7 linked regions of the Xenopus tropicalis genome follow. The protein of the gene in region 5 purifies or fractionates together with the protein of the main gene of each other region. This does not show direct contact. Links are inferred from orthologs where the notes say so. Each region holds a gene or a part of one and is shown on either strand. Other genes may lie near its edges.

Region 1 (3,500 bases), on a different chromosome or scaffold from region 5:
ACCACGGCCACTACATATAGTGCATAATAAATATCTTGTTAGCTAGGGGATTGCATGCTGCAAAATAGGGGACAAACCCCTGTGTTTACTGGGTCAAACAAAAGGACCACAAATTTTTGAGGTGGGCTCCTTTATCAGGGGGAACTTGAATGCCAACCAGATATGGCAGAGATCCCTAACCTTTTTTTACTCGTGAGCCACACAAGCATGAAAAAGTTCTTTGGGGATGCCTAAGCAACTTGTTGGGCCTTACTGAAATATGGTATTTGTAGCATCAGAAAGGCTATTCAGACTGACCTAGGGTTACCTTGTGCAGTAGATGAGCATGTAGGTGATTTTTTTTTCTTGATGGTCAGTTTTCACTTTAATGGTGTTCACAGGCACTACATTATGTTTATAAACACAGTGAAGCACCATATGTATTCAGACTTCTTTTGTGGAACAATTTTTAAATGTATAGTAAATACCTTAAGTGGAGTTAAGATGTTTACAGAATATCGCATTGTGTTTTTTTTATTGAATTGTGAATTGGTTAATTACACTTAGCTTTTTTATTTTGCTTTTTAGAACCTATTTCGTTAATGGGAAGACTAACAAGATGGAAGAATCCCAGATAAATACTGAAAGTTCTGGTGCTAAAGAACGCCTCAAAGAGGACACCAATTTCAACTCTGAAGAAAATGATCTAGTATTTAAAAGTATACAGTCAGGACAAATCATTTTCCAGAAAAATAGTTCACTGACTATGCCAGAAGACTTACAGAGGGACAGGTCTGAAAAAGCTTTAAGCAGAGTCCAGCCTTCTCTATTCATACATGCTGGTGATCCTACTATAACTAGTGAAAACCTTTCCTTGACTAAAGAAGCTACTATAAATGGACCAGTTTCTTGCTCCCCAACCATTACTTCCATCATAAGTACAGATAGCATTTCAAAAACCTTGGAACAATCCGCTGTTCAGCAAAAAGATTTGTGTTCATCTTTGAAGGTGGTATATGATCTCCAACAGCCTACAATAAAAACTGCGCAGATTTCAAGTCAGCAAGTTTTATTTTTGATACCTGATATAGCACATACAAAGAAAGATACCCATTCCATTGTAAAACTTCCTACCTCTTCTATTTGTTCTGACACAACTAATGGGAATATTTTCACATTGGATAGCACTTTAATAGAGCCTGTAGATGTGTGTGATGATAGGAAAAATATGCCAGTCAAAGAGGTATATAATCCACATGGTTGTGGAAAAGATGATTATGTAACAGGAAATGAGACCAATATGAATGGTCAAAAAGAACTTGTAAATAATGAAAACGCAGCTGGAGAATCTGAAAAAAACTGTGTTGTAAAAGTAGAGAAAAAAAGGAAGAGGAAAATGGATGGTAGTAAGATAACTCGTTGCTATTCAGAAGATGCTTATAATGATGATTATATTTCAAAGAAAAAGTTATTAAATCTAGATATGATGGAACAGAGCGATGAAGAGCAACTCCTAGCCCCTCACAATTTTGAGTTAACGAAGGTCAAGTCTGAATCCAATCTTGATGACACGGAAGAACATCTTCCAAATGAAGCGATAGATGCTATGACGCATTATATGTGTAGCCCTGTTTGTGACTTTTCTGATGAAGCATCACCTGATGATGTTGGGTCATTTTTTCCAAATAATGATTGTGATTCATTGTCACCACCAACTTGCACTAATGATCAAGAGCCATCATTTTATCCTTGCACAAAATGCAATGTAAATTTTAGGGAGAAGAAACATCTTCATAGACATATGATGTATCATTTGGATGGGAATAATCACTTTCGGCATCTTAATGTTCCAAGGCCATATGCTTGTAGAGAATGTGGGAGAACATTTAGAGACCGTAATTCACTTCTTAAACATATGATTATCCACCAGGAACGACGGCAGAAGCTAATGGAGGAGATAAGAGAATTGAAGGAACTTCAGGATGAAGGCCGAAGTGCGAGACTGCAGTGCCCTCAATGTGTATTTGGAACAAACTGTCCAAAGACATTTGTGCAGCATGCCAAAACCCACGAGAAAGATAAAAGGTACTATTGCTGTGAAGAATGCAACTTTATGGCAGTTAGTGAAAATGAACTGGAGTGCCACAGAAGTGCTGCACACGGAGCAGTGGTAAAATGTCCAAGTCTCACTTCAGATATACCCCAGAGAAAAGGTATTAAAAAAGCCTCATTAAAAAATTCTCTTTTTCTTTCATCCAAAAAATCTGCAACTTATATCTGTAAGATGTGCCCATTTGCTGCTTCTACTAGAAACAATTTAAAAAAACACATTGAATATGTTCATCAGTCATCTTCCCCTGATCACTTTAATGGTTCCCTTTTACAGAATTTCACAGATTCTGAACTTCTAAGTGTTGGTAAGGAAACAAAACACATTATAAAACCTTCCTCTTCATTTCCAAAGAATTCTGTCTTAAAACAGGATATGAAAAGCCATTATGGTTCTGTATCCCAAACAAACAGTTTTACAAAGTTGCATCGAAAGCACAAAATACAAAAAGCAAGGAAAAGTGCTGCTCAGTCTGTAGTTTGTAGTCCATCCATTTCCCCAAATAAATCCCTTCTCTTTACTAGCAATGACCAAAAACATAGGTATTATCAACAAATTACAAAACCGAAATATGCCAGAGCGAATCATGGCTACAGATACGGTCAGAATTTCAAAATGTTAAAGAAGTCTAATGATTTGTATCCATTAAATTTAAAAAAGGAAGATTCATCTAGTACTTTAGAGTTGCTTTCAGCATCCACTGATCTTCAGAATGATTGCTCGATTATAGATGCTGAGTCTTTACAGCCAAGGAAATTTGTTGCTTTTAAAGATCACAGGCGGGTAGCTGTAGAAAAGGTGCTTAAACCAGAAAATGAACATTCAGCCACTGAAGAAAGTTTAGACTGTTATCCAGATTTCCTTAAAAAAATGACTTTTGTTGTCCTGAAAAAACTTCACCCCTCTGAACAAAAAGATGAATATGATTCATGGGAAAATGATGAAATATATGAATATACAGAACCTCCTGATGGACCTTATAATACAGGAAAGCAATCAGTTTATCCTGTATTCAAGGAGAAATTGAACGATGAGCATGGTGATGAATCCACCCTGCACTATAATAGCAATGATGGTTTTTACTTTGAGTATTATGAAGATGGGGAGGGGGATGTATTTATACAAGACATGCCTGGTGCTAATCATCTTGAAAATGATGACTCTGTGCTGCAAGAGCATAGTGCTATATTCCATTGGAGTGATTTGTCTCTGGAAAAGAAAAATTGTCCTTATTGCCCTGCAACCTTTGAAACTGGGGTTGGACTGTCAAATCATGTTCGTGGGCATCTTCACAGAGCAGGATTGACGTATGAAGCTAGACATGTGGTGTCACCAGAACAGATTGCAACTAGTGATAAAATGCAGCACTTTAAGAGAACTGGAACACCAACGAAACGAGTTCGAAAAGGTA
Region 2 (3,500 bases), on a different chromosome or scaffold from region 5:
AATGGGCACCTATCATAGGGAAATGGTTTTGGCTAATAATGCCCACACTCCGGGTGGGGGGAACTGTACTCCGGGCCAGAACTAGGGGTAGGTACTTATCATTGCCCCCGCCCCCGCACAATGACAATTGGCGGGGTGGCCAACTGGGTTGCCTAGGGCAACCCCGTTGGCTCCCCCCCCCCCTGACTTTACTATATTGGCCAAGAAATGCTCCTAGGGAGCTTCCAGTGCAGGGGGCCATCTTTGCCCATGCATATAATGAGAGAGCTGGGACTCCCCCAAAATGGCCGCCTCCACTGGGAGCTGCCAGTCGGTTTGGGCGGCAGAGAGCAAGCCAGGAGGAGTATTTACCTAAAATCATATAGTTTCCTCTATTAGCCAGCATCTTGGTGGGGCAGAACACAATTTTCTATTGAAAAGTGCCCTTTAAAGGGGTCGTTCGCCTTTGAGTCACTTTGAGAATTTGCAGTTGGTCTTCATTTTTTTTATTTGTAGTTTTTGAGTTATTTCGTTTTCGGTTCAGCGGCTCTCCAGTTTGGAGTTTCAGCAGCTTATCTGGTTGCTAGGGTCCAAGTTACCTTCGCAGCCAGCGAGTGGTTTAAACGAGAGGCTGGTATATGATTAGGGGAGGGGCTAAATAGGAAAAGAAGTTATAGAAAGTAACAATAACAATAAAACAAGAGGCTCACAGAGCAATAGGGTTTGGCTGCCGGGGTCAGTTCTCCTGTTGCTAGGGCTCAAATTACCTTAGCAACCACAGAGTGGTTTGAATGAGAGACTGGTATATGAATAGGGGAGGGGCTGAATAGAAAGATAAGGAATAAAAAGTAGCAATAACAATAAAACTGGAGCCTCACAGAGCAATAGGGTTTGGCTGCCGGGGTCAGTTATCCTGTTGCTAGGGCTCAAATTACCTTAGCAACCAGGGAGAGGTTTGAATGAGAGGCTGGTATATGAATAGGGGAGGGGCTGAATAGAAAGATAAGGAATAAAAAGTAACAATAACAATAAAACTGGAGCCTCACAGAGCAATAGGGTTTGGCTGCCGGGGTCAGTGACCCCCATTTGATATTTGGCAAATATGGTTGAATTTTAACCCCCCTCGTGCTTTATTTATTACAACAGGGATATATCCCGGGGGTACGAGAATATCCCCATCCCTTGCGTCAACGCCGAAGACTCCGAGCTGTGTCCCGTCAACTACAAATACGTCTCTCAGAACTGCGTGACCTCCCCGCTGAACATCGACAGAAACATTACCCATCTGCAGGTAGGGAGGGGCTTATTGCTGTGCCGCTAGGGGGGGTGGGGCCATAGAGTGGGTACCAGACTGATTTGTCCCTCTTGCCCTTTCAGTACTGTGTGTGCATCGATGACTGTTCCTCTAGTAACTGTATGTGCGGCCAGCTGAGTATGAGGTGCTGGTACGACAAGGTAAGCGCTGCGAAATGCGTCGGGCACGTGGGCAGCCATTTTGGTTTATATGAGGTTCCAATACCTTTTTTTTTTTTCTTCTTCCCTCCAGAACGGGCGCTTGTTACCAGAGTTCAACATGTTGGAGCCCCCACTGATCTTCGAATGCAACCACGCCTGCTCCTGCTGGCGCAACTGCCGCAACCGTGTGGTTCAAAATGGCTTGAAGTGAGTGACGCTTCCCCCCTACCCCTTTACGCCAGTGCCTACCAGGGTTCTTTTCACCGAAATCTCGTTTTTTTCCCGTTTTCCAGGATTAGATTGCAACTGTTCCGCACCAAAAGCAAAGGCTGGGGGGTGCGATCCCTGCAAGACATTCCCCAGGGGACCTTCGTATGCGAGTAAGTGTGTGCGTAAATCTGCCTTCTGATTGGGCCCCGACCTTCTGTCCCAGCATCCAATCAGAACGAGCCACCTCCCTGTGGCCCATCTTGCTTTTCCTGCCTGCTTGTCCGCAGCTTCTGTAAAGAGCAGTAAAGCGGCCGTGCATCTGCAGATTTACTCCTTTAACGATCCACAAGGGGGGGCCATTGGAATGTTAAACAGACTAATTGTGTTAAATGGATCAGATGTCTCCGCTTCCAAAAGGTTTAGAGTGGAGGAGGGTTCGGCCACCAAACTCATGAACTCCCAGCATTCCCAGCTGCCCCAGAGACCTCATTTCTGGGCTCCATTCCTGCATTGAACCAGAAGAATCTAGTAGTAGCTTAGGGGTAGTTAACTTTTAGTATGATATAGAATGGCCGATTCGTAGCAACTTTTCAATTGGTCTTCGTGTTTTATTTATTACGATTTTTGAATTATTTTATTTATGACTGTTTCCAGCTTTCAAATGGGGGTCGCTGACCCCGGCAGCCAAAAAACTTGCACTCGAGACTACAATTTTATTGTTATTGATACTTTTAATTACTTATCCATCTATTTAGCCCCTCCCCTATTCATTTTCTAGTTTCTAATTCCAACCACTGCCTGGTTGCTAGGGTAATGTGAGCCCTAGCAACCAGGCGCCTGCTGAAATTCCAAGCTGTAGAGCTGCTGAACACAAGTCAGTAAACCACAGAGAATTAAAAGTGAAGACCAATTGCAAGTTGTCTATCAAGATCTACATCGTACTTAAAGTTACGTTGAAGGTGGACAACCCCTTTAATGTCCGTCTGGCTTTCTTTCCCCAGGTATGTGGGGGAGCTGATTTCGGACGCAGAGGCTGACGTTCGAGAGGATGACACCTACCTCTTTGATCTTGATAACAAGGTAAGTGGTGGGGCTATTAAAGGAAAGGTGAACTTGTAAAGGTTAGAAGTATCTATTGGCTATCTGAAGACCTTGCCACCTTGACCTTAGCTGGATCCGATGGATCCACCAAATTGGATACTACATGATTGGCCAAACATTATGCAGGACCTGATGGCCATGTCTGGCCAACATTGTCCAATCATCTGTGTCAAGTCAAGCATGATCAGCGAGGTGGCGCCTTTCAGGAGATGGTCATGACAACAGCACTTGTAAAGGTTAGAAGTATCTAAAGGCCTGAATACCTTGACCTTAGATGGATCCACCAAACTGGATACTACATGATGGCCAAACACATGCAGGACGTGATGGCCATGACTGACCAACGTGGTCCCCTGGAACATTTTCAGGCTTGTCCAATCTTCTATGTCAAGTCAAGCATGATCAGCGAGGTGGTGCCTTTCAGGAGATGATCATGACAACAGCATTGGTAAAGGTTAGAAGTATCTAAAGGCCTGAAGACCTTGACCTTAGATGGATCCACCAAACTGGATACTACATGCAGGAAGTGATGGCCATGACTGACCAACATGGTCCCCTGGAACATTTTTTAGGCATGTCCAATCATCTGCGATCCAATAGGGTTGCAGGAAGATCTGCTAGAACCAAGGGGACTCCATCCATGTGTGCATTTGTGTTCTGTACTAGAGATGTGGCCCTCGGTTTATGGTGGCCCCATAAAAAGACGGAAAAGCCACCGGGTCAAAGCAGCCCCCCTGGCTTGGCATTCATGTCCA
Region 3 (4,212 bases), on a different chromosome or scaffold from region 5:
ACCTGCGTAATGCAGACATATTGCAGGCACTATATACAGTGAAATGGTAAGTAACGCCCCATGGCAATTTATAAAAATTAATACAACAACAGATATTTGATTTTATTTCAACAATACTCATAAGGAGTATGGGACCTGTTATGCAGAATGCTCTGGACCTGGGGTTTTCTGAATAAGGGATCTTTATGTAATTTGGATCTCCATACCATAAGTCTACTATAAAATCATTTAAACACATAAATCCAATAGGATTATTTTGCCTCCAATAAGGGGTAATTATATCTTAGTTGGGATCAAGTACAGGTACTGTTTTATTATTACAGAGAAAAGGGAATCATTTAACCATTAAATAAACCCAATAGGGCTGTTCTGCCCCCAATAAGGGGTAATTATATCTTAGTTGGGATCAAGTACAGGTACTGTTTTATTATTACAGAGAAAAGGGAATCATTTAACCATGAAATAAACCCAATAGGGCTGTTCTGCCCCCAATAAGGGGTAATTATATCTTAGTTGGGATCAAGTACAGGTACTGTTTTATTATTACAGAGAAAAGGGAATCATTTAACCATGAAATAAACCCAATAGGGCTGTTCTGCCCCAATAAGGGGTAATTATATCTTAGTTAAGATCAAGTACAGGTACTGTTTTATTATTATGGAGAAAAGGAAATCATTTTCAGGCGATGGTCCTCCCTTAATTCTGACCTTTCTGGATTATGAATCCCATATAGTTCCAGGGCACAAATAAGCACTCACCCCAAATCCCCCCCTAACTGGCCTTCAGGCTGGGCCCCCTTAGCCCATAACAAGGTTACAGATATATAGAAACATTGGGGTAACAGTCACCCTGCTATAGTTCCAGGGGTACCCAGGGCACAAATAAGCACTCACCCCAAATCCCCCCCTAACTGGCCTTCAGACTGGGCCCCCTTAGCCTATAACAAGGTTACAGATATATAGAAACATTGGGGTAACAGTCACCCTGCTATAGTTCCAGGGGTACCCAGGGCACAAATAAGCACTCACCCCAAATCCCCCCCTAACTGGCCTTCAGGCTGGGCCCCCTTAGCCCATAACAAGGTTACAGATATATAGAAACATTGGGGTAACAGTCACCCTGCTATAGTTCCAGGGGTACCCAGGGCACAAATAAGCACTCACCCCAAATCCCCCCCTAACTGCCCTTCAGGCTGGGCCCCCTTAGCCCATAACAAGGTTACAGATATATAGAAACATGGGGGTAACACCCTGCTACAATACTAGGGGTATCCCTTGGACAGAAGGGCAGCACATTGCATGTACATTTATTGCCCCAGTAAAACCCCATCCCAGCCCCATTACGCTGCATTGTGCCCACACATTCCAGTTACTTTGCGCTCTGAGACACAAGTGGGATCCTTGCTGCAGTTCCTATCGCGCCCCTAGATGGCGCTGTTCCCGCTCCGCACCAGGGCCGCTCTATGGTAGGGGGCGGGGAGGGAGCGGACGCGGGAAAGTTTGTAGCAGACGTAGAGCAGAGAGCGGATCGCTTCCCCGGGCAGGTAATTCCGTGTGTTTGTGTGCAAGCTTCTTATTTAACCCGTGTATGCACTACAACTCCCACAATCCTGTCAGACACAGCAGACACTGGCAGTTCGGATAGCGCTAGCCTGGGATGAGGGAGTAATGCCTATAGGAGTGTTATTGCTGCTTCTCTATTATATCAGGGGCTTCTGATTCCCTCCATCTGCTCCATAGTGACTGCATTATTGCTGCCATTCCCACACTGGATCCTATTGACTCCCCTTTGCTGCTCTTCATACTTTCTATTGCAACAGATGCGTTAGAGTTCAGCGCCAGAGCTTGCAGCCCCCCCCCCTACTGCACAGATAGCCCTGCATCATCCATATACTATTGCACTCATATAGCCATTCCTTGTATTCTGCAGTGCGTTTGTGTGAGTATACATAATTCCCATCAGTCCCTGCCCCAGTGAGCTTACAATCTAAGGTCCCTATCACATTCCCATCAGTCCCTGCCCCAGTGAGCTTACAATCTAAGGTCCCTATCCCATTCCCATCAGTCCCTGCCCCAGTGAGCTTACAGTCTAAGGTCCCTATCACATTCCCATCAGTCCCTGCCCCAGTGGAGCTTACAATCTAAGGCCCCTATCCCATTCCCATCAGTCCCTGCCCCAGTGAGCTTACAGTCTAAGGCCCCTATCCCATTCCCATCAGTCCCTGCCCCAGTGAGCTTACAATCTAAGGTCCCTATCACATTCCCATCAGCCCCTGCCCCAGTGGAGTTTACAATCTAAGGTCCCTATCCCATTCCCATCAGTCCCTGCCCCAGTGAGCTTACAATCTAAGTTCCCTATCCCATTCCCATCAGTCCCTGCCCCAGTGAGCTTACAATCTAAGTTCCCTATCCCATTCCCATCAGTCCCTGCCCCAGTGAGCTTACAGTCTAAGGCCCCTATCCCATTCCCATCAGTCCCTGCCCCAGTGAGCTTACAATCTAAGGTCCCTATCACATTCCCATCAGTCCCTGCCCCAGTGAGCTTACAATCTAAGGTCCCTATCACATTCCCATCAGCCCCTGCCCCAGTGAGTTTACAATCTAAGGTCCCTATCACATTCCCATCAGCCCCTGCCCCAGTGAGCTTACAATCTAAGGTCCCTATCACATTCCCATCAGTCCCTGCTCCAGTGAGCTTACAATCTAAGGTCCCTATCCCATTCCCATCAGTCCCTGCCCCAGTGGAGCTTACAATCTAAGGTCCCTATCACATTCCCATCAGTCCCTGCCCCAGTGAGCTTACAATCTAAGGTCCCTATCACATTCCCATCAGTCCCTGCCCCAGTGAGCTTACAATCTAAGGTCCCTATCCCATTCCCATCAGTCCCTGCCCCAGTGAGCTTACAATCTAAGGTCCCTATCACATTCCCATCAGTCCCTGCCCCAGTGGAGCTTACAATCTAAGGTCCCTATCACATTCCCATCAGTCCCTGCCCCAGTGAGCTTACAATCTAAGGTCCCTATCACATTCCCATCAGTCCCTGCCCCAGTGGAGCTTACAATCTAAGGCCCCTATCACATTCCCATCAGTCCCTGCCCCAGTGAGCTTACAATCTAAGGTCCCTATCCCATTCCCATCAGTCCCTGCCCCAGTGAGCTTACAATCTAAGGTCCCTATCACATTCCCATCAGTCCCTGCCCCAGTGAGCTTACAATCTAAGGTCCCTATCACATTCCCATCAGTCCCTGCCCCAGTGAGCTTACAATCTAAGGTCCCTATCCCATTCCCATCAGTCCCTGCCCCAGTGAGCTTACAATCTAAGGTCCCTATCACATTCCCATCAGTCCCTGCCCCAGTGAGCTTACAATCTAAGGTCCCTATCCCATTCCCATCAGTCCCTGCCCCAGTGAGCTTACAATCTAAGGTCCCTATCACATTCCCATCAGTCCCTGCCCCAGTGGAGCTTACAATCTAAGGTCCCTATCACATTCCCATCAGTCCCTGCCCCAGTGAGCTTACAATCTAAGGTCCCTATCACATTCCCATCAGTCCCTGCCCCAGTGGAGCTTACAATCTAAGGCCCCTATCACATTCCCATCAGTCCCTGCCCCAGTGAGCTTACAATCTAAGGTCCCTATCCCATTCCCATCAGTCCCTGCCCCAGTGAGCTTACAATCTAAGGTCCCTATCACATTCCCATCAGTCCCTGCCCCAGTGAGCTTACAATCTAAGGTCCCTGTCACATTCCCATCAGTCCCTGCTCCAGTGAGCTTACAATCTAAGGTCCCTATCCCATTCCCATCAGTCCCTGCCCCAGTAAGCTTACACTCTAAGGTCCCTGTCACATTCACACAGAACATACAGGCAGGTTGCAAAAGTAAATTGCAGAATTGCTCGGGGGAGCAGGTTCTGCTTGTTTGCTTTATTTGTTTGTGTCTTTAGTTCTATTTTAACTCCCCCCTATATGTAATAAAAGGCACAAAGTGCAGTAACCCATAGCAACCAATTATAATTTGATTTAAACTGGTAGCTACCTGCTGATTGGTTGCTATGGGTCGTAAGCATTGTAACAAGCTTTGTTCCTTTATATTACATAACCCAATAAAGGTCCAGTCTTTTCAAGCAGAGATTGGGGGTACAGTAGCCTCTCTGCCATTGGAGGAATTGCCTGACAGAGCTTAGCTGATTGGTCTGTGTGCTCTTCCCTTCCAG
Region 4 (4,031 bases), on a different chromosome or scaffold from region 5:
AGTTACAGGGTTGCTAGGGTCCAAATTACTATAGCAACCAGGGAGTGGTTTAAACGAGAGACTGTTATAGAAATAGAAGAGGACCCGAATAGAAAAATCAGTTATAAAAATTAACAACAGCAGCAAAACTGTAGCCTCACAGAGCAATAGTTTTTTGGCTGCTGGGGTCAGTGACCCCGATTTGAAAGCCACAAGTTGACTGAAGACGGCAGATAGTTTCAAAACGATAAAAAAAAAAAAATAATGATTACCAGTTGAAACATTGCTTAGAACATGCCATTCTATAACATACTAAAAGATAAAAGGGATGGTTCCCATTTAAGTTAAGAGATGCGCAAACTTGCTGCCCCCCTACATAAGATCTGCCACCCTACACCTGTGAGTATGTATCATTTCCAGAAGTCTGAGCTTGACTACAGACATTTCATCAATGGTTATTAAAATATTGCTATTTTCTGTCACTCCCATTTAAAACAATAGGGCTGTAGGAGGTCTAAGGTGGCAAAATGATTTCAGTAATTATTTAAGAAAAAAAAAATGTAAAAGTCATGTAAGAGTAAAACATGCAAGTTTTACTGATTACATACATTTCAGAAATTGCTGCAATTTTTTTGCTGGCAATTTTTTTAAACATCTCTTGATATAACGAGCCTTAAAACTCCAGCTTGCTCACATATCCACATTCCCCTACTCTGTTTCATTCATACACGTGACAGAAAACACCACAAAAATATTTGAATCGCTTCCACAACAAACGTGCGTATATTACATTAGATAACCTATTACAAAACTACACCTTCCAGAATGCCTTGCCGCTGAACTATAGAAACTACAGTTACCAGAATACCTTTATACCAGCTACAAACTATCACCCACAGACTCGGTCTGCATGCATGCACACAAACCTGACAGGGGTTCAGTTATGAGCCAATTCTCTTGAGATGTCCCATGAGCCACTAAGCTCTGTATACTGACTTATTTAAAGTCTCCGATACAGCCATCATATAGGGATAAAAAGAACACTAGAAACTACGTATCCCAGCGTGCCTTGCTGCAAGAGACTATTAGAATAGAACGCTACAGTCTAATCTGAAAGTAGAAACTGTGCGCATGTGCACTATCCGTGGCCTTCACAGAATACACACTACAATTCCCAGCATGCCTTAAACCTCTTGTGAGAGGCCCAGTGGGGAGGACTCCATGTCCCATCACGCTACGCGGCACTGGGAGGGGGAGTAAGATAGAAGGGGCGGAGCCAGCAGCGGGCGGAGGCGGCTCAGACACACTCAGCGCAGAGACACGGAGGAGGAGAGAGAGTCGCGGAAAAAACGGGGATTTACCGGAGAGCAGTAAGGGCGCACCGTGTAATTCCGAGAACAAACAACCCCCCTGGAGTGTATAGAGCAGCGGGTGACCAAAGAGAGGCGCAACAAGGGCCTGGGGGAAGGAGAGATAGAGAGAGAAATTCCCGTGTGTGTGTGTGCGACTGGGGTGAGAGCCAGATCCCTCGCACGGGCAGCCGGGACTATCTGGACTACAGCCTTATATCTGGGGGTGCCACCTGGGAATTGGATCGCCGAGGCCGAGAGATGATGTGACTATGCTGAGCGTGACCGGAGCCGGAGCAGCCATGAGTGGCCGAGAGGAGCAGGAGCCGGCGGGGAGCGGTCAGTCTTTGCTTCGGGGGTGCTGCTGCTCTGTGTGTGTGTGTGAGAGAGAGAAGCACCGTGGGGTGTCAGTTTACGGGGGAGTGTGCACGGCTAGCATGTAATGTGGCTTTGCAAGTTCCAGGGGGCAATGGTTAGTCCAGTGCAACATCTGGTCCTCTAGCTGTTATTGTACTACAAGTCCCAGCATCCCCCCACCTCCTGACAGCTTAGTGTTTGGGGAGGGGGGGTTGTGATACTTCACTGCGTTCAGAAATAGCCGTGGGGCCTCAATTCGTCCATCCCTGGGGGACCCCAGACATTTGTGTGCTGTTAAGTGTCTCTGGTGTGTGTTAGCCAAAGCCATTCATACTTGTATCTAGATGGAGAGCGAGATTGTAGTAATGATGTACATTCGTATACATAATAATAGCTGTATTCTTTAGTCCATTTATTTATATCGCGCACACATACACAGAATTGGAACGTTCATGCACTCTGTGCTGGGATCTAATCTCATGGGGGCCAATTTGAGTCTTCCTCTGGTAATTTCTATACCAGGGGGTCCGTCTGCCTCATACCTACAGGATACACACAGTGTGTCTCAGGTTTATAGTGTCCGTTCCCCTGTGTGCTATTTCCTTAATTACCTTTTCTGAGATGCTTTTTTTAATCATATGTCCCTGTCTCCCCTGCTAGCAAAGGATACATTGTAACATTTGGTAAACTGAATGACAAGCTGGCTTGCATTAAGGTTTATCTAATTTGTTGCAGGCAATATCCTCTCGGGATCCTATGTCCCCATAACTGTTTATATCTATTTAATACACTGTATCCTTCCCAAATCTGTGTATAATATATATTACATATACAGCAACAAGCTTTGTCTATTTTCTTTCCTTTTTCCTCTTTTATCAGTCTTTAGGTGTAGGTATGCATTAAGTGTGCACCTCCAGCTGTGGTTGTTGAATAATACTGAAATATTAGTTAAGCAACAGCTGGAGGGGATATGCTGGAGGTCCCTGATCAAAATACACGCCTTATGTTATCAACTTCCTATCTTTTTGGGGCTTCCCTACTAATGACTTCATTCTGTGGTCTCTATGTATTATGTACCTCTCAGTCTTTATGTCTCTATAGGCCTCTACATATGTAGGGATGAACATGTGCAGTAGAATGTAAAACACCTAATACAAGGATAACTAAATGTGCTATGGGTTACTTATGAAATAAAAGTTTATATAACTTGGCACTTGTGCATGTCATAATTGTACATACCCCAAATCTGTCTCTACATCTTTCACTTATTGTAGAGCTTTATCTTACTACCCTGCATGACTTGTCTGTCATTCCAGCATTATGCTTGTCTATTTAAGTTTTTCACTACCATGTATGTTACATTGGTTTTTTTTTTAGTGTTTTCATGTTAAATGTCTTCTGTAGCCAGGCACCTGCATGCCACTCTGTAACTGAACATGGTTCAGTTGTCTAGTGGGTAGATTTGTCTGATTTAGACAGCCATGTAATGACCACCTTGTTTTGTTGATAGTTGAATATGTCCAAACTAACAGACCATATTGGCACACCTAAACAGTAACTGTATATCAGAATTTCATTAATGGTACAACAAGAAGTTAGGAGGCAATACTTCTTGTAGTATCCAGGTATTCACTGGCACAGATTGGTTCATTGCTACTTGGTCATTTGATGGGCTTGCATGCTCAAATTTTTGTCTCAGGGTTTTCAATTTTTTTTGCATTCAAGCAACCCGTTTTTGAGCAGACATGTAGACAAATCCCTTCTTAGCATGTATGCTATAGATACATGAAAACTTTGTAGTAGTCGCCAATTACAGTTCTAGTAATAACCAGAAAAATAAATGAATGGATTTTTTGCCACATTTTCCCTTCATTCTTCATTGTTCTGGGCTCCTTACCCATTGGCTTGACCTAGGGTGGGCAAACCCACAAGTTTGAAGCATCTTCTCCAACAGGTATATTATAGTAGTTAACGACCTACAACTCTCAAGATATTATGGAATTCTGCCCACCGATTCATTCTTGGGACCACAGTTGAGCAAAATATGAGTTTTGCTTGGGGTTGCACACCTCTGTCACATTCATCCTTTCTGTGTATACTGACCTGTCTGTCTGCACAGTTGTAGACTGTTTTTTGTTTTAATTTGACCAAATTTAATGTGGAGCATGCTTGCATATACCCAAATTATCCTTGTTGGGTTTCACTTTAGGTTTTACCCAGCGGGTATGCTTAATTAACCCCAGGTGATAGGATGCTAAATGGATGTAATACAGTGTGCAAAGTTTGCCACAGTTCTTATCACCTATAGCAACCAGCATTTACTGGTCTCCTGTATAAAACAAACAT
Region 5 (3,709 bases):
GATGCCTCTATGATGGGTGTATGGAGGGCTCCCTGCACAGGGGTACCCAGTATTACACATGTGACTGGGGGAACCTGAGCAATTCAGAGGCCAATTGGTCTGACCCATAGTAGTGTATCTTCAGCAGAACCAATTACTGAACCCTGTAATTACCACTAAGGCTGCAGGGGTTATAGATAAGGGGCTTTAGCCTGGCACTTATAGAGTTAAATTTGCCCACTGCCAGGAGCTGCCACAGAGAAAATCATACGTTCGACAGTAAAAATATGTTTCATGTTTTTTTTTAGTACAATTGTCATATTTGTAGCAACTTTTCTGTTGGTCTTCATTTTTAGCAGTGTTTGAATTATTTGCCTCTTTCCAGCTTTCCAATGGGGGGGGTCACTGACCCCAGCAGCCAAAAAGCTATTGTCGGCAAAGGTCAGCAAGGCTGCTGCCTTGTGTTTTTTTTATTGCTTCAAAAGTCAGAACCCCCAAAGCAGGGAATAGAAAAGGACAAATGCAACTTCTAATAGCAATTATATATACAAATAAGCTGCTTAGAATTATGTTTTCTTTTATTGGGCAAAAATTATATTTTGGCTTGACTTGCCTTTTAAATAAAACACCCTAAATAGATAAAGATAGTTCAACCGGTGATTGAGGCTGGGATTGAGCTGAGAGTTGTATTTCAGTGACGGCTGGAGGGCTTCATCTTGGACATGGGCGATACAGGTCCTTTACTAGGGCCACTATATTCTCTTTAGTGCCGGCCGTGCCCATTAGATATTACCCTGCAGCTTGGCGTGCCCGGCCCCTTCCCAATGCGGAAGAAACTTGGTTGCAGTTGCAAAGCAACATTGCGCAGTTTGGATGAAGGGTCTTATTGTGGGGGGGAGAGAATTCTGTGAATCCCTGTGCTGTTTGCAGCGACGATAACACCTGGGAGCCGGAGGAGAACTTGGACTGTCCCGATCTCATCGCAGAGTTCCTGCAGTCGCAAAAATCCGCGTACGAGTCGGAGAAAACAGAGGCAGGCAAGCGCAAGGCTGACTCCGACACCGAGGTCGGCGAGGAGAGCAAACCCAAGAAGAAGAAGGATGAAGTGAGTCAAATGGCTTTTCAGTTGCTTTTAAAGGGAAAATGCCCCCTGCAATGACAGGAGCTCACACTTCTGTAGAAATAAAGACAAACTAAATATCGAGAAATACATATACATACATACTGTCCTTTTTACACAGGTAAACCTAATTCCACAGATTGGGAGGAAGCCATGATAGTCTGACTCGTAAGATCCGTCCTTCCCACCCCTTTAGGCTGACAGTCATTTAAATCCCTTTTCCATGTTGAAGTGATGGATTCTGGGACTTCAGGAAAGCAGAGCGACTTGAAGTCCTAGACTACCTTATTTTTCCCAGCAGACTGTGATATGCACAGGCCTCTGGACATGGAAGGGTCTAGTACAAATCAATTAGTTACCTTGTGAGCACCCCAAAGAACAGAAGTTTTCCCACGTGTCGGCTGAGTTGTAAACCATCAGCTCACTCGGTATTTGGGGCCAGTGATGTGGCACCACCACAAGTAGCCACGTAACATAACCTCCTTCTCATTCCAGGTGGAGAAACCACGTGGTTTTGCACGCGGATTGGAACCGGAGAGAATCATTGGTGCCACAGACTCCAGCGGAGAGCTGATGTTCCTAATGAAATGGTGAGATCCTTGGGGGGGGGGGGTCCCTTTCTACACCTCTCCTAGGTCATTTGCAACTTTAAAGGGGATGTTCACTTTCAGACAATAGTCTGAAGCTAAAACTCTCTCTGCTCTCTTTTTGGAAGGGATCACGGACACCAACTTGTGTTCTGGCCACAGAGCATGCCTTCCCTCTCCTGCTTCATTTGCATTAAATTGATCGGATTGGCTGAATTTTGCCAGCCAATGGTTTCAAAGATATGCAAATAAAGCAGCAGAGGGAAGGCGTGCTCTGTAACCAGTTCAGTGTCAACTTCCTGTTTAGCCAGAATGGTGTTGGAGATCCCTTCCAAAGAGAGAGTTTTAGCAGCAACGATCGGTAGCTTCAAAACAACTTCAGACTATTGTGTGAAGGTGAACATCCCCTTTAAAACCACTGGAAATGTGTATTGCATTTGAAGTTTGGGTTTACTTACCTTTACATCAGTCATGTAGCAGATATGACTGGCTCCAGTGTGTATCTGCTTCTGGGAACCCTGCATGACCCTAAACATAATCCTGTGCATGCTCATTGGGGTGTGCTCCTTATTTGGGGGGATACAGTGCTAAGCAGCAATGGGTACATCCCCCTCCCCCACAGGAAAAACTCAGACGAAGCCGACCTCGTCCCGGCCAAGGAAGCCAACGTTAAGTGCCCCCAGGTGGTGATCTCGTTCTACGAGGAGCGGCTGACGTGGCATTCTTACCCTTCCGAGGAAGATGACAAGAAAGACGAGAAAAACTAAGTGCCCCCCAACAATTCACCAACGATCCACAGTTAGCGGGTGAGATGTATACGCCAGTCACTCACGCCAGAGTGAGGAAGGGGGAGAGCCGTGGAGGATTCAGTCTGTCCTGAATATTTGGTATGTATTATCGGCAGAAATCCGGGGACACGTGGACAGGAGGAACCTAGCACAGGGGACACTGCATCCTACAAGCTTCTCCTCCTCCTCCTCCTTCCCGATAGTGTTACAAACTCTGCATTTTTACTGAGTAGCATGTCCATTTAGTGATGTCTGTGGGTGAGACGGTGAGGCCACGGCGGGAGGGGGGACAAAGCGCTTCGATATCATTGTCACCCTGGAAAGAAGAAAGACAGTCCAACAGGTAGCTGCAGATCCTTCTGCCTAGGAACTCGCCACGTGGGGCTCTTTGGGGACCCTGTATAAGAACGGTTATGGGAATCTCATTGCTGGGTGGGGGGCGGGTGTCCTGGCAGGCAGGAAGCTGAAACAGGTGCTGATCCCATTTTCTAACACTTCCCCAGAATTCCTTCAAGCTGAGGCCCCGGGGTCTCTGCCATCACGCTGTGACTACATACAGATTCATTGTATAAACTGTCAGATTTGTAGTTTTTTTCCTTTTTTTTTTTTCCAGGTTTTTTTTTTGTTTTTTTTAAAAAAGCATGTGTTTTAGGTTTGTGCAAACTTCGTTTTAATGTAAAGTAATTCTTAGCATTTTGTCAGTCTGTCGTCCTAATAAAACTTTTAGATTTATAATTCATTGTCGCTCTGTTTGCTGTGCCCAGAGCCTGCTTGCAAGGAACCCCCCCCCCCCGGCCAGGACTTGCCCTGAGAGGGGCAAATCTATTTAGTGAGTCTCTGCCAGGCAGATAGAGAATCATCACTGTGAATCTGGTATTGCCAGAGATGAAAATGTAACTTGTTTTGAGGGTTAGTTCACCTTTAAGATAAGTTTTAGTATGTTATAGCATGGCCAGTTCTTAGCAACTTTTCAATAGGTCTTCATTTTATTTTTATAGTTATTGAATTATTTGCCTTCCCTTCTGTTTCCAGCCTTTACATGGGGGTTAACCCTTTCCGATCCTAAAGGCATAAGGCTGCAGGCTGAGTTATACAGGGAACTCTGAGTATCACTCACGTATTATAAGGGATAATGTACCCCCTACTGTAAATGATAAGGATATTAGCAGTCACTGAGGGGTTCTGTGACCATATAAAGGCACAAGGCTGCAGGCTGAGTTATACAGGGAACTCTG
Region 6 (4,151 bases), about 24 Mb from region 5:
ATGATTTTATTAAATTTTGTATAATCTTCTTTAATTGTGAGTACAATTTTAAGTAATATATAATTTTATTTTTTTGTTTTTTTAATATACTGGTTGGTGATGGTAACTGTTGGTTTATTGCATTAAATATATACTTGAACTGTACTTTATTATATTTAAGTCAGTTTATGAATATGTATCACGTAAAGATCCACTGAACATTATAGGCTGGGTGGGGCATTGTTTAGACAACACATAAAAGACTGCAACACAGTGGAGCTGACGGCAAACACTGGAATTAAATAAAAGGCTTGAAGTCAGATTAATCATGTTTAGGGTTATTGGTCCTTTGAATTAAGTTGTCTTCATTTTTCAATAATTTCAATTAATTTTTCAATCAATTCAATCAAATGCTTAAATACATTTGCCTATTTTTTTTTATAATAAATAGGCCTGTTGGTAGTGCCCATACAGATGCGCTGCTAAATTGGTCTGAAATTGGCAACTTAAATAGGCATGTGTATTGTTACCTTTAGTCTAGAAAATCAGAAGCCCCAAGAATAGAAGGGCAATGGCAAACCAAAACTACTTTAGTTGAAAGAAAATATTCCAGGTCCCCAAACATACCATGAAATAGGGTCCTGATTGTATCAGAGAATGACTTTAATGCTTGGCTGTTGACCATAGAAAGCAGCTAATTGGCTTTGAGGGCACCTATATGCACAATGGGTTACTAACTAGCAATCAGTTCTGCTAAAGGTGCTGATGCTTTGCAACTGCCAGAGGGATGCTGTGGTACCTACTATATTGGCACCATAATACCTAGCTAAGGGATTTTACTTGTCATTTGTTAGATCCTCAAGAACTACAGTGACCACTGGCTGGAAGATGTCACCTCCCTCCAAAGAGACCATTGTAAATTGGCAGTCCTTGGCAGCCATTACTGTGGCCAACTTAGTTTCCCAATGAGCCTCTTTCCACAGAAGTGTAACTCATGGGATGCTTACTTCTTGCTCCTGATATAGTGCCAGTAGCAATGAAATTGGCACCCAGTCAGGGAGCTGCCCTACCAATCTCTTCCCTCCACACCACCCAAACCACATGGCTGCAGCACTGAGAACCCAGCACCACGTGACCAAACCCATAATAGTGCCGGTGGCGAAGGGATACCAAGAACACCGCGCATTCCCACTGTAATTTTTCTGTCTTTGAAGTATCCGTCCGCAAAAGGCGCCCCCTAGCGGTGAGAGGGAGATTATCTTGGTGACCCGATTTTCTCTTTCACCCCCAAATTCCTGCTGGACAAGATCCCCTTTGTGCATGCCCATCTCCCCGGTCCCCAGGTGCGCGGCTGCAGTGGAGTATTTGTTTTTTCCCGGGCTCCCGCCAGCTCCGGACAATGAGTCCCCCCACCCCTCCTTCATGCTAATGAGCGCTGACGTCACTTCCGCTCCTTCGCGGCCGCCATTTTGGCCAGGGCAGGATCGGAGCCGCTGCCGCCGCCGTGCTGTATTGTCTGCAGGAGGAGGAAGTGCACCCGGCGGAGTCACAGCTGCAGCCACCGGCACCGGGAACTGACTCCACCCCCTTCCCACACACAAACACGGGGCTCATGCTCAGGCGCATTGCCTGGCACCCCCATATCCCAAGGGGCCATAGGCTGCCCACCGCCTCGGGCTGACAAGCAACCCCCCGGCTCAGGTATGTCTGGGGCCGTGAGCGGCGTAATGGTTACAGGGTGGGTATGTTGGGGTGCATCTTCTCATGAAGTCGGAGTGCCTAACGTGAGGTAGAACTAGAACTCCCAGATCCCCCCTATAGAGGATGATGGGATTTATAGTTCAGGAATTGGGGGGGGTGACAGGGGGTAGAGCAGAGCTAGTTACGGATAATAAAGTTACTGGTGGTGTGAGGAACAGATGGAAGTTATTAAGGATTGGGGAGACACTGAGGGCTGCAGGAAGTGCGGGGCACAATGGAGTTGGTGGAAGTGCAGAGAGTGTGAGGGACACAAATAGGGGATGGAGATAGTGTGGGGACAGATAGGCAGGCTGATGGGCCCAGTGGGCAGGGGGCATACCTGGCTATTGTACTGAGCACTCACATCTGTGCCGGGCAGCTCTGATTGGATGCGGATAATGATGGTTGTGGGGACAGACTTGTTACTTTGGGTGTAGGGATGGGGGAGGTGCCAGTATGAGTCCTGTTGCCCCCATTGCCACTAGCTGGGGTGCCCCAATGGGATGTGTGGGTGGGCACCCTGCTGCTGGGGAGTTCCAGCCTGACATGCAGTGCCGGTGGGAGCTCGGCTAGAGGGGTGCCGGGCATGGAGGGGCACAGGATCCGGCTGTGGGTGCAGCGGGGGGCATGGGGTTGGCGCTGCCATGCTACATAAATAGAACTTCGTATTGCGTGCAGTTATGAAGCCGGAGGGCCGTACCTCGGGCATCCCAGTGGCATGAAGGCAAAGGGTTAATATATGGGAGGGGGTGGGGATAGGGGCTGCCCCCACCCTCCCTTGTCTGGCTGCTTCTGCTGCAAAAAGGCGCGATCCTGTAGGAGGAACCTTTAAACCAGCATGCTCCCCTCTCCCCAGGTACACATGGGCTGGCCGGCGCTAGGGTTTAGCGGCAGGTGGGCTGCACCACTCCCCGTAGTGGGGGTCCATCACAAAGGCGCTCGATCCGAACTGCTGCCGGTGTTTTCCTGCGCTGCACATGGCCTGCTGTCACAGTGATGGCTTCGCATTAGTCATGCACTTTAGCGCTGTTTGTTTTCTCTATTTGCACGGCTGCGAGCTGTGGCAGGGGGGAAAAAGGGGAATAAAAAAAATAACAGGCAGCCTCCACCCAAGATGCACTGCAGCTAGAAAATGGCGCCTCACATTCCAGTAGGGGGCGCTTGCTGTGCGCCGGGTAAGGCGCTGGGGTGGGGGGATGGGTAGACTGAAGCAAAACTGGAAGCTGCTGCACAGCGCCTCCTATAGGTTTGGGAGTGGAATGCGGCAGGGCCCATGACAGCAGCATTATGCACTGCTTGTGCAGAGAGCCAGTGATTCACTCCCACATTCCCTAGGCCCCTCTGGTGCTTCTAGGTGCAGGCTCTAACTTATCCCTTGTTTGTTCAGGTTTTGCCCATCACTAGTGTAGAGCATGGATGCACTGCTTGGGACCTTCTGAGTGCTACAGTTCCCAGCATCTCTGCTAAAGGCTGCTAGTGATGGTTCAGCAACACCTTAAAAACTATACTTTGGATACCTGGGTATAGCCCCCCTGTCACAAAACTGACTTGTCAAATTGGTGCCTTTTCTTACTCATGGCAATTTACTTTACTCCTTGTGTCCATTAGGGCTATGCACCTCACATCAGATTATGCCAGCTAGTTATTTACCACTAACTTATCCCTTGTTTGTTCAGGTTTTGCCCATCACTAGTGTAGAGCATGGTATAGTGTATTCAATAACAACACCTTACCTTACTTTTAGCATTTTTCGGGTTCAACGTTTTGTGCAACTTGTGCAGAAACAGAACTCCCAAATTATAAAGAGGGTGGCCCTGGGAAGGGGGTGAAACATAACTGAACTGATAGACTAATGTATCAAAGCACTAACCCAGTAAGTGGCACTATAGAGGGGAAGAGTAGAATCAGAGGGTACTGTAGTTTTTAAGAAAATACCATGTGCTTAAAATTCAATCATTTTCTCTCTACAGGTGGATAAATTCATTGGCACTTACACTTTTTCCTTGGATTCCTATCTGCAGCACCTTGCACTGTGTGGGACATACAGCAACAAACTGGCGCTCGGATCATCATTTCAATCTTCCTTAACTTTATTTTGACATAAAAGGTTTGTTTTCATTTCTCCTTTCTACCTCTAAGCTTTTAGAAAAGAAGGATGGTAGTAAGGACTGTGTTTTTGCATGGCATGTTAGAGGACCCTGGAACCCATGGAGTGAAGTGTCTTTAGTAACCATCATTATTTATCAACTGTGTAACCATGCTTTAAAGTTAATTACTACTGAAAAACAGTTCTTTTGACTAATAAAAGAAAATATAACTTAACTTTTCAAAATACATGCATTCCTGATTTCATTAGTTTTAAAAGTTATGTGTAAATGTTATTAATGTTGAAAGCTGTATGTGTTGATCCATTTTTGTTCTGCGTCAGCCAT
Region 7 (4,044 bases), on a different chromosome or scaffold from region 5:
ATCTTTTATTTAAAGCAGCGTAGGTGGTTTTTCATAGTTAGGGCAGTGATAGGGTTTAGGGTTGCCACCTCTCCTGCCCAGTAACTGTGGGCAAGAAGGCAGGGTATGACATCATGGGGGTGGGGCATGAAGTCACAGGGGCAGGTTGCACAGTTGGGGGGGGGGGGCAATCTGCCCGGTTTTCCCAATTGTATAAGTATGTGCATATATGTGCAGTGGGGTTTGTTTGGAGGGTTTAAACTGCTGCAACCACTGGGAATGACTCTAATGAGGGCACCGTGACTTTTAACAACTATTTGGCCCTATTAGGCCCAACATCCTAGTTGCAGAACTTTTAAAGCTTGTTTTATTACATGGTAGACACCCAACCAATTTTGGTAGGTAGGTAATATAGGGTTAATGGAGCTCTAAATGTTCTGGTCTTTAGATTATGTTTATTTTATGTTCAACATCAGTACTATAGGTTGCTATGATGGGCCATGTTCCTACAGCTGATCCATCTCCCTCACAGTCCCATTAACTAGAATACCATACCACATACCCTTGTCTAAATCCAGGCCAATACAGCTGTGTATTGAAGTGTAATGTGGCAATGTGTAATCCTCAACCTTTATTATGAATGTAATTGGCCAAAATGTGATTGCAATAACCCAAAATTTGGACTGAGAGAATTGGCCATAGTGCATCTTATCACATTAGGGATAAGAAAAAAACAATTGGTACAGCAAAATGAGAATTTCTCATTTACACGCCCATGTGCTTAGTGCATGCACTTTTGAGCCCATGGAACTTTCTGCAGAACTGACAAGGAACCTGCCCGTTTCAGTTAGGACCACAGAAAAGAAAGAATAAAAGATTATAAGATTATTTTTGGTCACTTTCTCCCACTCCTTTATATGAATTTGCACTTACAGTTATTCTGTCGCTTTTGCAAAAAAAGAAATAAAACCACTGGGGCTCTCAAAATACACGACTTTACTTCACAGGACCCTAGTTCGCACAGAAACTCTTGCGTTCTTAGTCAAATAGTCCTTTTTCAGGTTCCATTGTCTACGAGCAGAAAATAAAAGTGATATATTTGGAAATAATTGGAAGCTGAGGTGGCAGCGAGTTAGGTGGGCAACAACACAAAATAAACGTACTTTTTTCTTAAAAAAGCGAAAAGACGCGTCATTACACCAATTGTCATATACACGTCGCTTTCAAAGTAATGTTCAATTACAACTTCTCTGCTAGCCACGCCTCCAAGGTGGTTACGTGTTGCGTCACTACGCTACGTGTAGTCGTGACGCTACAGTCTCGCGTGATGAGACTTTTGGAGTCGGGATTTTCTGTAAGACTGGATGCCAGGAGCTTGCAATTAAGAGCTTTGAGGGGCGGGTAAGTAGCGAAAAGCGGGACTGTTAGGGCAGTATGGACTTACGTGGATTAGCCGCCCCCAGTGCTGTCAGTGAGCTGCAGCCTTCGGAAGTGAAGTTTGAACTTCCCCCACAGCCTATTCATTCCCCATGCGGATCTAGCGGGACTAAAACTTCTATAACAACACGAACAATACAGAAAGTTGTGTAAGGGAAACAACATGTGGGAGCCCTAGCTCGCTTCCGAAGTGTCCAGCTCACTGATAGCAGGGGGCCCAGTAATCCAAGTAAGTCCAGCACGGCCGGGCACCCCATAAGACCAAGAACCCACCCTGATGGCGGCCCTAGATACAAAAGGAGGATGGTTGCAGGCGGTATATTTATCATGCTGTGTAAAAAGTGGAGTAAAACATCACCAGTGATGTTTATAGCAGCCAATCAGATGCTTTGCTAAGATCTAATTGCTGATTGGTTGCTGTGGGCAACGGCACTGGTAATGCTTCACTCCAATTTTTACACAGCTTGATAAATATACCCCACATCTTAGTCATGTTTGCACTCTTCCTCTCTCCCAGTTCTGGCACTTGACACAACTCGATTGTCTCTTTAAAATGGTTTGTAAACTTTAAATCTGGAAGGGGCAGTGAGCAAAGAATCAAACTATGCACCCTCAGTCCACTCTCACCTATTCGCAAGGAAAGCTTTCTTGTCTGAGGGATAGGAAGCAATAAATGGATTATAAGACGACTGCCACACACACACACGTACATATTTGTATGTTGCACAAGCCTTTCTAACTACTAGATATTATCAGTTTATAAAATTGCCGTCGGTTTACTTGAGTTTATAAATAAGAGTAAGTTGCCTTTATTTGAAACTTGTTATGCATTTATGGTAGGGGGGGGGATTGTAGAACTTATTAGAATGGGGGATTTGGAAGTTTTCTGAACTTTTTCGTTTAGCAGAAGCACACAAATCTGTTTTATATTTATAAACCTTTGTCTTGTCAGGCTCTGGTGAATTAGTTCATTTGCACTTGAGCATTTTTAATACTGGCATTCTTACTACTATTATTATTAGGCTAAACATTGCCTTTTCCGTTAGTTCATCCTTTAGGATCGCGTTGCATTATCCTTTAGATTGTAAGCTGTTGTAAGCAGGGACCTTCTACCGTTTTTATTTTGTAACCCTTGTTTGTTACTCAATTTAAGACCCTTGTTTGTTAAAAATAATTGTAAAGTGCTACTTAACTGCCTGCAACTATATCAATAAATAAATAAAAGATGTTGGATATTTTGTATTCCTGGTTTGGTACTGTTTTCATACTCGCATGCAATCATGGGCCAAAAAACCTGATGCTACAAATTTAATGGGGTTTATGGAACTAAAAAGAGTTTCAGATATTATATACTGAGGGGAAAAAAAACTTGTAGCCCAATGATCAGTATGTCTGCAGAGCTTGCCTGGTTTTCATTGTTGTTCTGTCAAATTGGATCAGTCCAATTTCACCTAAAGTGTAGGTGGCCAAATTGTGCAAAGATTTGAGGGAATCTTTGCATGTATGGCCAGCTTTAGATACAAAGGAGATGCGCCTAGGAATTTTTAAAGGTTCTAGGCATCAATATGCCATCCTTTTACAACCAACATCACAGGCTTCAATCATATTACACCATTCCAAAGTATAACAATACTTCTCAGCTGCATATTTTGGCAAAGGACAAATGTTCACAAAGGTTTTTAAAGGAGAAGGAAAGGTAAAAATCACTGGGGGTGCCAAATGTTGCCAGTGACCTTTCCCCTGGGCTGGTGCCCACACCACACATGCCTGGGATAGCTGCAGCAAGTGATTCCTCTTTTTTTTGTCTTCTGAATTCCGGGGATGGTGCATGCGCAGTAGAGTGAAGAAGCCGACCGAAGAAGGAAGAAGAAAAACTTGGTTGCAGCTACCTCGGGCTGGTGCAGTTTTCTCCTAACAGGAGCACCAGCTCGGGGTAAAAGTTAAGCGACTAACATTTTGGCAACCCCCAGTGACTTAGCCTTTCCTTCTCCTTTAAATCTGCTAAGCTTCAGTCTGGCATCACTGTAACCCAAAATCACAGAATGCACATCTTACCAATGAGGTTGCACATTTGCATAGAACAGCTCAGAAAATAATTCTGTTAAAGGACAAAACATATACCTAGAGGTTTTCAAAGATGCTGCTTGTAAATTTAAGTAAAAACATGACTGAAAAAAATAAAAGATGCTGCTCTTAAGTATTTTTACCCCAAAATCACATGCCTACCATCTGACCAGCAAACTTGCACCTTTCCACAGTATTGCAAAACAGAACCACTCAGCAGTACATTGTGGCAAAGGATAAAACGTGTACATGTTTCAAAGATGCTAAGCTTAACTCTGCAACTCCAAATCACATTGGAAAAATGCATTAGAGAACAGTTAATAGCTTATATACTTCAGAAGAGAAAAGAAGGACCTGCACCTCAACACTTATTCAGTTCATAATATAAAAAATGTAGACTCTGCAGATCTTTTTTTTTTTCTACACATTTTGTATCCTTAATTATTTACAGGCGGTCACATTTAAGGCAATCTGATCTGAATAAACTTTTTGCAAAAAAATTTCTTTGTGGGGTTTTTTTTTGTTCTCTGATCAATGAGATCTGAGATTGTGCCATTTCATAAT

The links.
Region 1: the proteins of cbx1 (region 5) and znf644 purify together in Homo sapiens (affinity purification with mass spectrometry; 3 studies listed by BioGRID and IntAct, with this or other methods). This does not show direct contact. The link is inferred for Xenopus tropicalis from reciprocal best matches to the Homo sapiens genes CBX1 and ZNF644.
Region 2: the proteins of cbx1 (region 5) and ehmt1 purify together in Homo sapiens (affinity purification with mass spectrometry; 3 studies listed by BioGRID and IntAct, with this or other methods). This does not show direct contact. The link is inferred for Xenopus tropicalis from reciprocal best matches to the Homo sapiens genes CBX1 and EHMT1.
Region 3: the proteins of cbx1 (region 5) and chaf1b purify together in Homo sapiens (affinity purification with mass spectrometry; 4 studies listed by BioGRID and IntAct, with this or other methods). This does not show direct contact. The link is inferred for Xenopus tropicalis from reciprocal best matches to the Homo sapiens genes CBX1 and CHAF1B.
Region 4: the proteins of cbx1 (region 5) and ahdc1 purify together in Homo sapiens (affinity purification with mass spectrometry; 4 studies listed by BioGRID and IntAct, with this or other methods). This does not show direct contact. The link is inferred for Xenopus tropicalis from reciprocal best matches to the Homo sapiens genes CBX1 and AHDC1.
Region 6: the proteins of cbx1 (region 5) and adnp purify together in Homo sapiens (affinity purification with mass spectrometry; 6 studies listed by BioGRID and IntAct, with this or other methods). This does not show direct contact. The link is inferred for Xenopus tropicalis from reciprocal best matches to the Homo sapiens genes CBX1 and ADNP.
Region 7: the proteins of cbx1 (region 5) and znf280d purify together in Homo sapiens (affinity purification with mass spectrometry; 4 studies listed by BioGRID and IntAct, with this or other methods). This does not show direct contact. The link is inferred for Xenopus tropicalis from reciprocal best matches to the Homo sapiens genes CBX1 and ZNF280D.

What each region holds. Positions count from the first base shown.
Region 1 is NC_030680.2:105,028,341-105,031,840, forward strand, and holds part of znf644 (zinc finger protein 644), read left to right. Parts: intron 1-567; coding exon 568-3,497; intron 3,498-3,500.
Region 2 is NC_030684.2:4,277,875-4,281,374, forward strand, and holds part of ehmt1 (histone-lysine N-methyltransferase EHMT1), read left to right. Parts: intron 1-1,125; coding exon 1,126-1,270; intron 1,271-1,356; coding exon 1,357-1,434; intron 1,435-1,525; coding exon 1,526-1,641; intron 1,642-1,727; coding exon 1,728-1,814; intron 1,815-2,645; coding exon 2,646-2,724; intron 2,725-3,500. UniProt on the Homo sapiens protein: Histone methyltransferase that specifically mono- and dimethylates 'Lys-9' of histone H3 (H3K9me1 and H3K9me2, respectively) in euchromatin.
Region 3 is NC_030678.2:12,933,201-12,937,412, reverse strand, and holds the start of chaf1b (chromatin assembly factor 1 subunit B), read left to right. Parts: upstream 1-1,412; 5' UTR 1,413-1,543; intron 1,544-1,916; exon of another isoform or gene 1,917-1,938; intron 1,939-4,212. UniProt on the Homo sapiens protein: Acts as a component of the histone chaperone complex chromatin assembly factor 1 (CAF-1), which assembles histone octamers onto DNA during replication and repair.
Region 4 is NC_030678.2:78,143,556-78,147,586, reverse strand, and holds the start of ahdc1 (AT-hook DNA-binding motif-containing protein 1), read left to right. Parts: upstream 1-1,231; 5' UTR 1,232-1,600; coding exon 1,601-1,667; intron 1,668-4,031. UniProt on the Homo sapiens protein: Transcription factor required for the proper patterning of the epidermis, which plays a key role in early epithelial morphogenesis. Directly binds promoter and enhancer regions and acts by maintaining local enhancer-promoter chromatin architecture.
Region 5 is NC_030686.2:11,718,020-11,721,728, reverse strand, and holds the end of cbx1 (chromobox protein homolog 1), read left to right. Parts: intron 1-909; coding exon 910-1,084; intron 1,085-1,594; coding exon 1,595-1,689; intron 1,690-2,308; coding exon 2,309-2,453; 3' UTR 2,454-3,209; downstream 3,210-3,709. UniProt on the Homo sapiens protein: Component of heterochromatin. Recognizes and binds histone H3 tails methylated at 'Lys-9', leading to epigenetic repression. Interaction with lamin B receptor (LBR) can contribute to the association of the heterochromatin with the inner nuclear membrane.
Region 6 is NC_030686.2:35,649,635-35,653,785, forward strand, and holds the start of adnp (activity-dependent neuroprotector homeobox protein), read left to right. Parts: upstream 1-1,351; 5' UTR 1,352-1,680; intron 1,681-2,477; exon of another isoform or gene 2,478-2,575; intron 2,576-3,689; 5' UTR 3,690-3,826; intron 3,827-4,151.
Region 7 is NC_030679.2:100,159,080-100,163,123, forward strand, and holds the start of znf280d (zinc finger protein 280D), read left to right. Parts: upstream 1-1,244; 5' UTR 1,245-1,380; intron 1,381-4,044. UniProt on the Homo sapiens protein: May function as a transcription factor.